Stegostoma tigrinum: one gene and its partner. The protein of the gene in region 1 interacts with the protein of each later gene in a pairwise test. Links are inferred from orthologs where the notes say so. Each region holds a gene or a part of one and is shown on either strand. Other genes may lie near its edges. The genes, in order: rassf1 and lats2.

The links.
Region 2: the proteins of rassf1 (region 1) and lats2 come close enough for resonance energy transfer, tested with the Homo sapiens proteins (2 studies listed by BioGRID). The link is inferred for Stegostoma tigrinum from reciprocal best matches to the Homo sapiens genes RASSF1 and LATS2.

The regions. Positions count from the first base shown.
Region 1 is NC_081364.1:59,255,041-59,262,764, reverse strand, and holds the start of rassf1 (ras association domain-containing protein 1), read right to left. Parts: upstream 3,063-7,724; 5' UTR 2,729-3,062; coding exon 2,395-2,728; intron 1-2,394. UniProt on the Homo sapiens protein: Potential tumor suppressor. Required for death receptor-dependent apoptosis. Mediates activation of STK3/MST2 and STK4/MST1 during Fas-induced apoptosis by preventing their dephosphorylation.
Region 2 is NC_081359.1:73,335,286-73,343,139, reverse strand, and holds the start of lats2 (serine/threonine-protein kinase LATS2), read left to right. Parts: upstream 1-4,836; 5' UTR 4,837-4,981; coding exon of another isoform or gene 4,982-4,990; intron 4,991-7,854. UniProt on the Homo sapiens protein: Negative regulator of YAP1 in the Hippo signaling pathway that plays a pivotal role in organ size control and tumor suppression by restricting proliferation and promoting apoptosis.

The DNA of each region.
Region 1 (7,724 bases):
CTGACCCATTCCCCTACTCCTACATTTCCCTTGTCTAATCCACCTAACCTAAATACCCCTGGGTACTACAGGCAATTTAGAATAGCCAAACCACCTACTCTGCACATCTTAGGATTGTGGGAGAAAACCGGAGCACCCAGAGGAAACCCACGCAGACACAGGGAGAACGTGCAAACTCCACACAGATAGTTGTCCGAGGTTGGAATCAATCCCGGGTCCCTGGCGCTGTGAGGCAGCAGTGCTAACCACTGAGTCACCGTCCCGCCCTAAACTAGATGCTACAACTTACAGAACAAGCACCACTTTGTTAATGTAAATAGCAGAGGATGGTTTTGTTCCATCAACCTCTGGGTTATGGACCCAGCACACTCCTGCTGGGCTACTCTACTGTGATGTGTACTGGACTTCTCAGCTATCTTCTAAACCGTCAAAGCAGAGTGGAAGTGAAATCATGCTTATCCTGAGGGACTGCCTCAGGTGAAGAAGAACGTCTAGGATTCCACATGGTGTGGAAGAGTTCAGCAGTGCAGGAGCTGTCTAACATCAGTAGAGATATAGTCAATGATACAGGAACACTGCTGGTGCAAACTACATAGCCTGCAGACTCAGCGAGGCAGGGAGAATTGACCCAGCACAAGTTTGTACATGAATTGGTCAAAAATCAACCATGAAAGGTGACAATTCTCACTGGGATGAACTTTCTATGTGCTGAAAGTTCCCAGTGTGGTCTCACACCAGTAGGTTAAACCTAAGAATTATATCAGGCCATTCAATCCCTTCAGTGTTCTATATCAATTATATCATGGTTAATCTGTACCTCAAATCCACTTCTTGGTCATAAAAGTATCTCCTACTTGTCAGGAGGAGACGTCAGTTTTTCACACCATTGATGTCCTCTGGCACGCTATCAGCTGCTGACTGGGAGCTGGTTAATATTCCCAACCATGCAGGTAGATGTAGCTGCTTTGCACTCAGTTACAGAAAGAAACTGAACATTCACATTTCAGAAGATTTTAATTACTTACAACTCTATCTAACTAAAAAGGATATATCTAATATTAAGCCAAGAAACATAGTCATACGCCAAAATCTGCTGAAAACATTACAACAGAGATGACAGTACAAAAATACATCACTGGCTGCAGTCTTTTGGGATATCCGGAGTTTGCGAAAGACACCATATAACTACATATCCTTTCTTCCTTTGACAAGTACTTTCCAGTGGACAGTCCTGGCCACCAGCTTCAACACTGTCAGAGGTTGTCTACAATTTTCTGACCATTTGCTTTAAAACCCCCGGTGAGCATAGCTTGCAGGCAAAGATGGTCACTGCTTACTGCCCACTGGTAAAAAAAATTCTGAATCACAGCATGCTCTTGAACCAAAGCTGAACACAAATATAAAACACAGCAAGCCAGGCTTGGGGAGATTTCACATTCTGATAATCGGCCAGCTTCATTGCCAACAGGGCCCGCAGTGAAGATGTGTCACTGTGTGACAATGGGCATCACTCTGGGATGACACAAAGCGACGCTTGCAATGCAGGGAGGTTTTTCTATTGTGTTCTTGCATAATTACATCAAGAGTTTAGCAACAACTTAAATAAGTTCCAAAGTACTTAGTTATGATGACAATGGCCTCTTTCATGTCGTTTTCATCAATTTCGGCACCTTTTCCACCTATTCAGTGTTGACAGTCTAACTGGAAGGTTTACAATGCATTTGTAGTGCATTTCAAACACACTCTTTTCTGGCTTGATCTTGTAAAGCTAGTTCCTTTCGTTAATCTGAATACTTGGAAGATTGAGGAAGCCTTGAAGGGAATCTATTACCATATATAGCCTGATACCAAACACAGAATCCTGTACAGTATACAATAGCACATCGTGTGATAGCGTGTATTTATATTCTGTAAATATGACAGCATACAGCAAAGAGGTTAGTAGTATGGAGAAAATACTGAGTTTGATAGTATAATGTATACATTGAGTTAAATAGAATATGTTTAGTATGATGGACAATACACTAAATCATGACATAAAAGTAAGAAAATGCATACAACCCATTTAACATGCACTGGAAATCTTTTCCGCAGTTTTAAAATTGATTTCCAAGCTGTATTCCCCTAAGTGATAGTCACACCCCAGCGTTATAAGTCGCCTTCTTAGTAATGATAAAAACCGCGGAAGGGTCCCTTGACTTGAAACGTCAAGTCTGATTTCTCTCCACAGATGCTGCCAGACCTGCTCAGCTTTTCCAGCAACTTCTGTTTTTGTCCCTTACCAGTGTCACTGTGACACATACGTTTTCTGTTTCTTACTTATTTCAGATCAATTCGTGTTTTTTTTAAATGCATGTTTGTAAAACAAGATAATTGCGTGTGTGAGAAACTTACTTGCGCACTGCAGACTTTGTTTGTACAGACCCCAGATGAAGTCGCCGCACAGGTCACACCAGCTGGGCTGTGTCTGGGTGCAAGGGTTGAAATCGTGTCCTTCCCCCAGTCTCTCGGTCAGTCTCGGCTCCTGGTCCACCACCAGCAGCCGCTGCCGGCTCTTGCGCTCTTGTCTGGCCGCCTTACCCATGTCCTGGACGCTGGAAGCCCGGCTCCTGGGGCTGATCCTCATGGCGTTGGTCCTCTCCAAACCGGACGAGCGGTACACCGAGCGGGTGCTGCCGGGACTCAGCGTGTCCTCTCTCAGGTCCCGCAGCTCGATCAGCTCCGCCATGGGGAGGCGAAGAGAAAAGTTTATACTGCACGGGGAAACTCAGTCTCAAACTCAGCGACAGGCATTAGAATTAAATGATCCAAAACGCCTTCGATAAGAAAACATTTCAGTCAACATGTTTATATTCGTTCGGGTCTCCCGAGCAAAAGAACCGCAACTGAAGCCAGGAGGGGCTGAGACAAGTTGATTAGTCCTGGTCCGGGTTAAAATTCCACCCCAGGATCGGCTCCTCCCCTGCGGCTAATAAATGTCTAACTCAACCCCTAACTCCGAGCACAGCTTCAGCTCAGTGTCAGGATCCGCCCATCAGCCAACGAAATACAGCAACCCGTTAGTTTTAAACGTGAAGCGAGCTGTGTGTTTGTGTGCGTGTGGAGTGGGGGAGGAGATTGATTGTAACCCTCTAAAGTTAAACTGTGACTGAATCGAGTGGATGAAGAACGTAGTGGGAGGGGCTGCTGTTTATGTTTTTTTGTGAGAATATTCAGATCACAGCTGTTCGCTGGAAAAGGATTTTTTTTTCTCTTTCCCCGTGGCTGGCCGCTGGGGTTTGATGGAACACTCTGTGCGTGTTCAGAACCATCCTCAGTTTTAGGGGCAGTGGGCGAGCAACAGTTAAGTGGGTGTGCTGGCTAGCGTTATCAGATTAAACGTAAACTCACTCTCCTTTTATAAGTGTTATCCTTCCTCTGTCCCCGAGCTGGACCACGCAGGTTCAACCTCTAGAATGTGTAATAACGTTTCGGAGCAGTTGCTTACCTATATTGAAGTGCATCACTCATAACCAAAGTGTGGAGCTGGATGAACACAGCAGGCCAAGCAGCATCTCAGGAGCACAGAAGCTGACGTTTTGGGTCTAGACCCTTCATCAGAAAAAAAGTGCATCACTGGCGGGTTTTAAGAAACCAGAGATGAAAAGACTGGTGTTGGGATCACTATGTTTTATTGTGATTTAGTCCACGGCAGGACTTCCCAAACAAGGAGTTGCCACTCCCACTGGGTTCAGGAGTCAAGATTTTGGGCTCCTAAACTCACAGGCAGCAATTTGGAATCTAGGCTATATAAAGTGATGAGAATGGGGATAGTGGGTATACACAGTTTCCTGTAGTGAGGAAAAATACTTTTACCTTTGGACGTTATTGCAAGTCATCACCACATTATCGGTGGAGCTAAGTTGCCCAGGATTCAACGACTTTTTAAGATAGGGATAACGGTGATCTGCCTCATTTTCATCACCTGTACATTTATAAGGCTTGATTTTGGGGACTGGATTTTGCAATTCTCACCAATTCACTAGACCCCCCTCTCAATATGGCCTATCTGCATGATCTCCAGGCCCACTCACCTTGTCCCAAGTGTGGTGTCCATCACTATTTCATCTCATTGAGTGCCGTCTCAGAGTGACCATCACTCCCAACGGTACGCTTAGGACTGAAAAGCAATCAGCCCATCACTGTCTGGCGTCTCCTGGGGGTGATATCTCACCGTTTAAAGACATGGGAACCGTAAAAGCTGAAAATTAATTGCTGGATCGATATAGAATCATAGTCACACAGCACAGAAACAGACTTTTCACCCCAACTCATTCACGCCAACCAGACGCCCAATCTGATCTAGTCCCATTTGCCAGCATATATGCCAGCCCATACTCCCTGTAAACTCCTCATATTCATATACCAACCTGGATGCCTCTTAAATGTGAGATAAAAAGGCGTACAGCTGCATGAACCAGGCCAAGCAGCATCAGAGGAGCTGATGTTTCAGGCCTAGACCCTTCTACAGAAAAAACGGTCATATCCTCGTAAACCTTTCTGCACACTTTCAAATTTAACAACATTCTTCTTATAGGAGAGCAACCAAAATTGTACACAGTATTCTAAAAGTGGCTTCACAAATGTTCTGTTTAACTGCAACATGAAATCCCAACTCCAACATCAACGTTCTGGCCAATGAAGGCAAGCATGCCACATGGCTTCTTCACTACCCTGTCTACCTGCGACTCCATATATGACAGCTAAGGATTCCAAAAATGGCTGAGGTAGGGATACTTGCATCTTTCTAGCTTGTTGTCAGGATTCACTTTAGTGTTCAATTGTCCTGCGTTTCTTTATGTTAATCGGTTTACAATAGCTGATCTTTGTACTCAATCGGTAAGCTTGGATGTAGACTCTGAGAAAAGCTGTGGAAAGAGTTGGGAGCCAGAGCTGAAGCACAGAGCAGCCATTTTGAAACACTGTCAATAAAACCTATTAAATATTGAAGCTGGTGTGTCGTCTTGGTGTAGACCAGAGAGATATAAAATACACAACGAAGTGGAGTGAGAATGATGCAGGAAAGTTTACAGTTACTCACTCTTGCACTTTGTCTTTGCTGATAGGCCACGGGCTGAATGGATTTCAGGGTGCACCACCTATTTGCATGCTATAGAGTTGCACAGGGCAGATGGAACTCCAAAAAAATGATACTTTTATGTTGCCTCAGAACAGAAGGTCATTGAATATTCCAGCAGCTCAAAAAAGACATGAGTGCATTTGTTACATCAGCAAGTGGGTCTTGAAAAATACTTTAGCCAAAGAAAAATGTTATATTTGAATGCTATACATTTCATTTTCCACTATTATATCATAGCAATGTAATAGCAAGCCCATCAAACAAGATAGTAAATAGATGCACCAGTTGGCTTCTATATTAAATTTGATCCATTAATCAATTAACTAGTCCACACCCAACTTCAACTCTACAAACTAGTTATGTATCCCCTCATGAATGACGATCTAATTTATGAAGTAGCCACAAACTTGCCAATGTAAATCAATCCACCACATGACATTAAAATGATAGAATCCCAACAGTGTGGAAGGAGGCCACTCAGCCCATCAAACCTGCACTGATCCTCTGAAGAACATCCCACCCAGACTCAGTCCCCCACCCTATCCCTGTAACTGCCTAATTTCCATGGCTAACCCACGTAAACCTGCACATCCCTGGACACTGTGGGCAATTTAGCATGGCCAGACTACCTACAATGCACAGCTTTGGACTGTGGGAGGAAACTAGAGCAACTGGCAGAAACCCATGCAGAATTGGGAAGAACATACAAATTCCACTCAGACAGTCACCTAAAGCTGGAATTGAACCCAAGTCCCTGGGTGTTGTGAGGCAGCAGTGTTAGGTTTGAAGAGGCTACATACAAGTGCCCCCTCCGCTTTCCCAACCAACTCAATTGCAAGGGTTAAGCATGAGGAGACTTCATAATCTGATTATGACATGCCCATTATGGTTAGCTACTTACAAGATAGCTGACAAAGGCACATCCCTCCCTGATACACTCAAAGCTTTCTATGCTGTGTTCAAGCAGAATACCAGCAGCATGGTGTCACCAGCCCCGGACACACCTGTTCGCTCTGTCAGCACTGCAGACCTCAGATCAGTCTTCCCAATAGTCAACTCAAGGAAAGCGATAGGCCCTGATGGAGTCCCTGGCCGTGCATTTAGGTCATGTCCGGACCAGCTGGTGGATGATTTCACCTCCAGTTTCAGCCTCTCCCTCCTTCAAGCCAAAGCTCCTACTTTCAAGAAGACCACCATCAGCCCTGTACCTAAGAAAGCACATGCAACGTGCCTTAAAGACTACCGCCCAGTGGGGTTCTGACCTCAATAATCATGAAGTGCTTCGACAAGCTGGTCAAAGCCCACATTAACTTGAGTCTCCCAGCTCACCTCGATTCCCTGCAATTTGCCTATTGACATAACAGGTCCAGAGCAGGTGCCATTTCCCTAGCCCTGCACTCATCCCTGGAACATGTAGACAACAAGGACAGCTATGTCAGACCCCTACAGCTCTGCCTTCAACACCATTATCCCCTCAAGACTCCCCTCAAGCTCTGCGCTCTGCAATTGGATCCTCAGCTTTCTGACCCACAGACCGCAATCAGTGAATATAGACAACTGCACTTCCTCCACAATAACACTTAACACTGGAGCAACACCCCCCCCCCCAACGCCCCTGAGGATGCATCCTCAGCCCCCTACTGTATTCCCTATACACCCATGACTTTTTGCCAAATTCCGAATGAACACCATCTACAAGTTTGCTAATGATACCATTGTGTTAAGATAGATATCAAACGATGATAAGTCAGAATACAGAAAAGAGATAGAGGGTTTGGTGACATGGTGCAATGGTTACAACATCTCTCTCTCTCTCTCTCTCTCTCTCTCTCAGTGTCCGCAAAACTAAATAATTGATCATCGACTTCAGAAAGAAAGGAGGGTAGCATGCCCCCATTTACGTCAATGGTGTGGAGATTGAGAGGGTCCAGAACGTCAGGTTCCTCGGAGTGACAATAACCAACAATCTGTCCTGCACTTCCCATGTGATGCAATGGTCAAGAAGGCACAACAACGCCTCTTCTTCCTCAGGCAGCTGAGAAAATTTGGCTTGTCCATGAGGACCCTCACTAACCTCTATATCTGCGCCATTGAAAGTGTACTGTCCGGGTGCATAACGGCCTGGTGTGGCAACTGCTCTGCCTAGAACCGTAAGAAACTACAGAAAGTGGTGTGCGCAGCCCAGACCATCACAGAAGTCAACCTTCCAACCATGGACTCTATTTACATGTTTTGTAGGTGCAGAAAGGCTGCCAACATCATCAAAGACCCTTCCCATCCAGGTAATGCTCTCCTACATCCTCTTCCATCAGGTAGAAAATATGAATTCTTGAACACATGCACCAGCAGATTCAAGAATAGCTTCTTCCTTGCTGTTATTTGACTGATGAATGGCATCTCTAACTTCAATTTTTTCCTATCTTGGTACTGGTGATCTTGCCTCGCACACATTCTGTGCAATGTAACCTATGTGCCTTACTGTGTCCAAGAAGTTTTTCACCTGATGATCTGTATTTCCTAGTTTACTATGATCTGCCTATGCTGCTCGCAAACAAAGCTTTTCACTGTACTTAGGTACACGTGACAATAAATCAAATCAATCAAT
Region 2 (7,854 bases), on another chromosome or scaffold:
GGGGCAGAAACATAGAATGAGACACAGAGGATGAGAAAGAGATGGGCAGAAGCAGAGGAGGAGAAACAGAGGATGAGAAACAAAAGATGATAAACAGCAGGGCAGAAAGACACAATGAGAAACAGAGGCTGAGAATGAGAGGTTGGGAAGCAGAGTTTGGGAAACACCAAAGGAACAGAGCAAGAGAAACACAGGAAGAAAAACAGAGGGGCAGAAGTAGTGGGTCAGAAAGAGAGGGTCACAAACAGAGGACGAGAGACAGAGGAGGACAAACAGATGATGAAAACCCAGGATGACAAACAGGATGAGAAGCAGAAAGGCAGAAACAGGTGGGCAGCAACAGAGATGCAGAAACCATGGAAGAGAAGCAGAGAAAGAGAATCAGAGGTGCAGAAACAGAGGAAGAGAAATAGTGGGTCAGAAACAGAGGGAGAATAGCAGAGGATGAAAAATACGATGAGAAAGAGGAGGAGAAACACAGTTTGAGAAGCAGAGGATGAGAAACACTGGCAGAAACAGAGGGAGAGAAAAAGAGGATGACGAACACAGGATGAGAAACGCAGGATGATAAACAGACGGTCAGAAAGAGATGTGCAGAAACAAAGGACGGGAATTAGAGTGGCAGAAGCAGAGGGTGGGAAATGGGGCGGAAACAGAGAATCAGAAACAAATTTGCAGAAACAGAGGAGGGAAGACAGAGCAAGAGAAACTGAGTGGCAGAAACAGAGGATGAGAAACAAGAAATGAGAATCAGAGGGTGAGACGCAGAGAATGAGAAAGAGAGGAAGAGAAACAGGGACTGAAAAGGGCAGAAACTGAGAATGAGAAACCCAGAATGAGAGCAACAGAGCAGAAATAGAAGGACAGAAACAAAAGTCAGAAGCAAAGAATGGGAAAAAGAGAATGAGAAATAGAGGGGCAGAAAGAGAGAATGAGAGACAATCGATGAGATTGAGAGGTGCCGAAGCAGGGCTTTTCATCAAAGGATGAGAAACAGAACGTGAGAATCAGAGGGTGAAAAAGAGAGAATGAGAACCAGGAGTAGAGACAAATGGGGTGAAACAGAAAGGCAGAAACTGAGGATGAGAAACAGAGAATGGAAACAACAGGCCCGAAACAGAAGCACAGAAACAGAGAATGAGAAACAAAGAATGAGAAAAAGAGGGACAGAAAGAGAGAGAGAAATAGACAATGAGAATCAGAGGAGAAGAGACAAAGCTGTTGGAACAGTGAGAAATAAACTGAGGATGAGAATTAGAGAATGAGAAACAGGGGATTAGGAACAGAGGGACAGAAACAGAGGATGAGAAAGAGTTTGGGAAACAGATGATTAAAACCCAAGGAGGAGAAACAGAGGATTAGAAGCAGAGAGGCAGAAACAGAGGGGCAGAAACAGAGGGGCAAAAACAGAGCATGAGAAACAGAGGAAGAGAACCAGAGAAAGAGAATCAGAGGATGAGAAACAGTGGATAAAAAACAGGTGGGCAAAAACAGAGGGACAGTAACAGAGGATGAGAAGCAGAGGACAAGATGCAGAGAGGCAGAAACAGTGCATGAGAAACAGAGGTTGAGAAACAGAAGAGGAGAAACAGGTGGGCAAATGTAGCCAGCCAGAAGGAGGGGACAGAAACAGAGGAAGAGAAACAGAGGATGAGAATGAGAGGTTGGGAAGCAGAGTTTGGCAAACAATGATGAGGAACAGAGCAAGAGAAACAGAGGAAGAAAAACAGAGGGGCAGAAATGAAAGGGCATAAGTAGTGGGGCAGAAAGAGAGGGTCGCAGAGGATGAGAGACAGAGGGATACAAACAGATGATTAAATCCCGGTGCAGAATCAGAGAAAGAGAAACAGAAGCAGAGGATGGGAAACAACGGAATACAAACACATGAGTGAAAACAGAAGATGAGTAACACAGGGGCAGGAACAGAGGGACAGAAACAAAGGATGCGAAACAGAGGAAGAGAAACAGTGGGCCAGACACAGAGGATGAGAAACAAGGTTGGGAAACAGAGGACGAGAAACACTGTTTGAGAAGCAGAGGATGAGAAACACTTGAGCAGAAACAGAGGGTGAAAAAAGAGGATGAGAAACACTGGATGACAAACAGACACACAGAAATAGACGTGCAGAAACAAAAGATGGCAATAAGAGTGGCAGAAACGGAGGATGAGAAACAGAGGATGAGAAACAGAGTGGAAAAACATAAAATAAGAAACACGAGGAGAAACAGAGGATGAGAAACAGATCATGAGAAACAGATGGGCTGGAACAAAGGATGAGAAACAGACTGGCAGAAACAGAGAATGCAAAACAGAGGACGAGAAACAGAGCGCCAGAAACAGAGAGTGGGAAAACAGAAAACAAGAAACACATGAGGAGAAACAGAGGATGAGAAACAGATGGGGTGAAACAGAGTATGAGAAACAGAGTGGCAGAATTAGGGAATGAGAAACAGCAGCAGAAACAAAGGCGGTAAAACAGACGATGAGACACAAAAGATGGGAAACAGAGTGACAGAAACAGAGGCCGAGAAATAGAAGATGAGAAACAGAGGATGAGAAACGCTGTGGCATAAACAGCAATATAAACATTGGTGAGAAACAGAGTGGCAGAGACAGAGGATGAGAAACATGATAAAGTATTGGGGAAGCAATAATTAGAAGTTTTGCTGAAATAACGATTTACCATAAATTTTGGAATGTGTGCCTGTGTTTGTAACAACCTGAAGGTTGCAGCTGTTCTCCCACGGCTGGGGCTGCTTCCTCTATTCAATGTAACAGTGTTAACTGCACTACTTATCTGCTTATGACGCATGTGAACAGTATGGGATGTGATAACATTTAGTCATGTCGGATAGTGAAATATGTATGTTAATCACACACGTGAGGGCTATAAATTGTACTACTTTTATGCTATGCATAGAGGTCTGACGAGAGTCCACCAGTGAGAGCTTGACTGTTACTCTGGTATTGACTCCGGAGCTCTCGCTGGCTAAGCTAAAATAAAGAAGTTAATGGAACTCTTGCGGGGTCTGGAAGTTTTTGAGTCAACAAACAGAGGATCAGAAACAGAGGATGAGAAACGGAGTGGCAGAAACATAAAATGAGAAACTCATGAAGAGACACAGTGGATGAGAAACAGAGTGGCAGAAACAGAGGCCAAGAAATAGAAGATGAGAAACAAAGCATGATAATAGTGGTGATGGAAACAGATGACGAGAAAAAAAGAGAATGAAACGGATGCAGAGAAACAAAGTATGAGAAACACAATCGCAGAAACAGAGGATGAGAAACAGAAGATCAGAAACAGTGGTAGAAACAGAGCATGAGAAACTGAGTGGCAGAAACAGAAGATGAGAGAGAAAGCATGAAAACACAATGGCAGAACGAAAGGATGAGAAACAGAGGCAGAAACAAGGAGTAAGTAACACAGCAGCAGAAACAGAGAATGAGAAACATGAGGCGAAACAGAGGATGAAAAACAGTGACAGAAACAGAGGGTGAGAAGCAGAGGATCAGAAACAGAGTGGCAGAAACAGAGGATGATACCATAGAAGATGAGAAATACAGTGGCAGAAACAGAGGACGAGAAACTATCTAGATAGCTAGGATAATAAAATGTGAGGCTGGATGAACACAGCAGGCCCAGCAGCATCTCAGGAGCACAAAAGCTGACGTTTCAGGCCTAGACCCTTCATCAGAATTAGAGATAGCTACTTCTTTTTGGATATTATTTTGCTAGCCATTAGGGCTGGGAACACATCTGCCTTTAGCCCCATTACTTTGTCTAATCCTACTTCACTAGCAATGGTACTTAGTTCTTCTCCCACGCTTTTTGGTATTAGTGGGATGTTCAAAGTATCTTCCACTGTAATCTCTTATGTATTCTCTTATCTTGATTAGGCAGCTCAAATGCACGCTGCTTTTGACTGAATTCCATTTGCCATTTTCCTGTCAATTTGACCACTGCAGTGATGTTATCATGCTGTTTACAACCACCTTGTATCATCTGTATCTTTAGTAAGGATTTTTATTACATATTGTTTGCCAGATTAGTTAAGAAGTTAAGAACCCATTGGATCCAGGGCAATTTGAAAAATTAGCTTAGGTCGGGCAGTATCAGGGGAGCGGGAAAGCTGACGTTTCGGGTGAATTCTTCAGAAATTTCTGAAAAATTCTATTCTGAAAAAAATCCTACTTCTACTGTGTCTGCAATGGGTTTCCTCGCACAGCCCAAAAATGTGCAGATTGGGTGGATGCGTTGACCACAGTAAATGCGGGGTTACAGCGATAGGGTGCGGGCTTGGAGGGTCAGCGCAGTCTCGATTGGGCCAAACGGCCTTTTCCGCACTGTGTGGATGGTATGACTTTGATCATCAAACCAGCTACGGAAAGGCTGGTGGAACTTGATTCAATGGTGACTTTCAAAAGGAAATTGCAAAAAATGCTTTTAAAACTTCAGGGAAACGCACGGCATGTTAAAAAGAGCAGGAAAGTGAAATTACATACATCTTTGCAAGAACCAGCACTAGCCGAATAGTCATAATAAACTCTTTTTGTTCCGAGAAATAGTGTTCAGTTTGCTTTTGAATGCTATTACGTTGAACACCACAAGTTCTAGTTAGATTTCGTTGACATTTAGATGTGGGTTCAAGGGCACCACAGGCCTAAAGTTCAGCTCGGTATTGAGTAATCGGATACCAAATTCCACGACCAAACCTCCGCCCCGCCTCCTCGTCGAATGCCAGCGCAGCGACGCACGCGGGCGCGCGCGGCCACGTGACTGAGATGGAATGAAAACAATGCGACGCGTAACTGTCAATCAGGAAGTTCGGAAGCTCCGCCCACATACTGTGGCGTTGGGATGGGTGAGGAGAAAATAGATTTCCATCACAGTTGAGAACTCTCGTACAGGCTTCTCTCAAACGAACGGACAAACACAAAAGAATAAAATTAAACCCTTGGGAAAACCAACTCAACTAAATGGCGAAAGTAAGGAAAAGCATAAGATTGACTATTTTAGTTTTGGAATTGCATTATCGTATTTAACTTGTGTCTAGCTTATGTATAACATTTAAAGGCCCAGATTTTACATCAACTTCTGTTACTGTAGAAAATTAGATTCTGTGAGACTTAATTTCCTTAAATATCATTATGATAACAAGGTGTAGAGCTGAATGAACACAGCAGGCCAAGCAGCATCAGAGGAGCAGGAAAGCTGACGTTTTGGGCCTCGACCCCTCTCACCCCATTACCGTGTGATGCTTGCTGATAATTTATAAGACTGACCGTGTTTATGGCATGCCTTTTCTGTGACATTTGTTGGTATTAGTCATTTTGTGAGACGGGTTTTTAACGTCCACGATGCTGACCGATTGAAATATATTTTCAGAGATAATAGGAACTGCAGATGCTGGAAAATCCAAGATTACAAAGTGTGGAGCTGGATGAACACAGCAGGCCAAGCAGCATTTTAGGAGCACAAAAGCTGATGTTTCGGGCCGAGACACTTCATCAGAGAGGGGGATGGGGAGAGGGTTCTGGAATAAATGGGGAAAGAGGGGGAGGCGGACCGAAGATGGAGAGAAAAGAAGATAGGTGGAGAGGAGAATATAGGTAGGGAGGGGATAGGTCAGTCCAGGGAAGACGGACAGGTTAAGGAGGTGGGATGGGGTTAGTAGGTAGGAAATGGAGTTGCGGCTTGAGATGGGAGGAAGGGATGGGTGAGAGGAAGAACAGATTAGGGAGGCAGAGACAGGCTGGGCTGGTTTTGGGATGCAGTTGGGGGAGGGGATGAGCTGGGCTGGTTGTGTGATGCAGCGGGGGGAGGAGACAAACTGGGCTGGTTTTGGGATGCGGTGGGGGAAGGGGAGGTTTTGAAGCTGGTGAAGTCCACATTGATACCATTGGGCTGCAGGGTTCCCAAGTGGAATATGAGTTGCTGTTCCTGCAAACTTTGGGTGGCATCCTTGTGGCACTGCGGGGGGAAAGTTGCAGTCCCTCCCACCCACAGCCTCCAACCTCATTGTTCCCCAAACCTGCACGGCCCGTTTCTATCTCCTTCCCAAAATCCACAAACCTGCCTGCCCTGGTCGACCCATTGTCTCAGCCTGTTGCTGCCTCACCGAACTCATCTCCACCTATCTGGACTCCATTTTCTCCCCTTCGGTCCAGGAATTCCCTACCTACGTCTGTGACACCACCCATGCCCTCCACCTCCTCCAGGACTTCCAATTCCCTGGCCCCCAACACCTCTCTTTCACCATGGAAGTCCAGTCCCTATACACCTGTATTCCTCATGCAGATGGCCTCAAGGCCCTCCGCTTCTTCCTGTCACGCAGGCCCGATCAGTCCCCCTCGCCGAACTAGTCCTCACCCTCAACAACTTCTCTTTCGATTCCTCCCACTTCCTACAGACCAAGGGGGTGGCCATGGGCCCCAGCTATGCGAGCCTCTTTGTAGGTTACGTGGAACAGTCTCTCTTCCGCACCTACACAGGCCCCAAACCCCACCTCTTCCTCCGGTACATTGATGACTGTATCGGCGCCGCCTCTTGCTCCCCAGAGGAACTCGAACAGTTCATCCACTTCACCAACACCTTCCACCCCAACCTCAAGTTCACCTGGGCCATCTTCAACACATCCCTCAACTTCCTGGACCTCTCAGTCTCCATCTCAGGCAACCAGCTAGTAACTGATGTCCATTTCAAGCCCACCAACTCCCACAGCTACCTAGAATACATCTCCTCCCACCCACCCTCCTGCAAAAATTCCATCCCCTATTCCCAGTTCCTCCGCGTCCGCCGCATCTGCTCGCAGGATGAGGCATTCCACTCCCGCACATCCCAGATGTCCAAGTTCTTCAAGGACTGCAACTTGCCCCCCGCAGTGGTCGAGAACGCCCTTGACTGCGTCTCCCGCATTTCCCACAATACATCCCTCACACCCCGTCCCTGCCACAACCGCCCTAAGAGGATCCCCCTCGTTCTCACACACCACCCCACCAACCTCCGGATACGACGCATCATCCTCCGACACTTCCGCCATCTACAAGCCGACCCCACCACCCAACACATTTTTCCATCCCCACCCTCGTCTGCCTTCCGGAGAGACCGCTCTCTCCGTGACTCCCTTGTTCGCTCCACTCTGCCCCTCCAACCCCACCACACCCGGCATTTCCCCTGCAACTGCAGGAATTGCTACACTTGCCCCACACCTCCTCCCTCACCCCCATCCCAGGCCCCAAGATGACTTTCCACATTAAGCAGAGGTTCACCTGCACATCTGCCAATGTGGTATACTGTATCCATTGTACTCGGTGTGGCTGCCCCAACATTGGGGAAACCAAGCAGAGGCTTGGGGACCGCTTTGCAGAACACCTCTGCTCGGTTCGCAATAAACAACTGCACCTCCCAGTCACGAACCATTTTAATTCCCCCTCCCATTCTTCAGATGACATGTCCATCATGGGCCTCCTGCAGTGCCACCAGGATGCCACCCAAAGGTTGCAGGAACAGCAACTCATATTCCACTTGGGAACTCTGCAGCCCAATGGTATCAATGTGGACTTCACCAGCTTCAAAATCTCCCGTTTCCCCCACCACATCCCAAAACCAGCCCAGTTTGTCCCCTCCCCCCACTGCACCACACAACCAGACCAGCTCATCCCCTCCCCCAACTGCATCCCAAAATCAGTCCAGCCTGTCTCTGCCTCCCTAACCTGTTCTTCCTCTCACCCATCCCTTCCTCCCACCTCAAGCCGCACCTCCATTTCCTACCTAGTACCTCATCCAACCTCCTTCACCTGTCCGTCTTGCCTGGACTGACCTATCCCCTCCCCACCTATCTTCTTTTCTC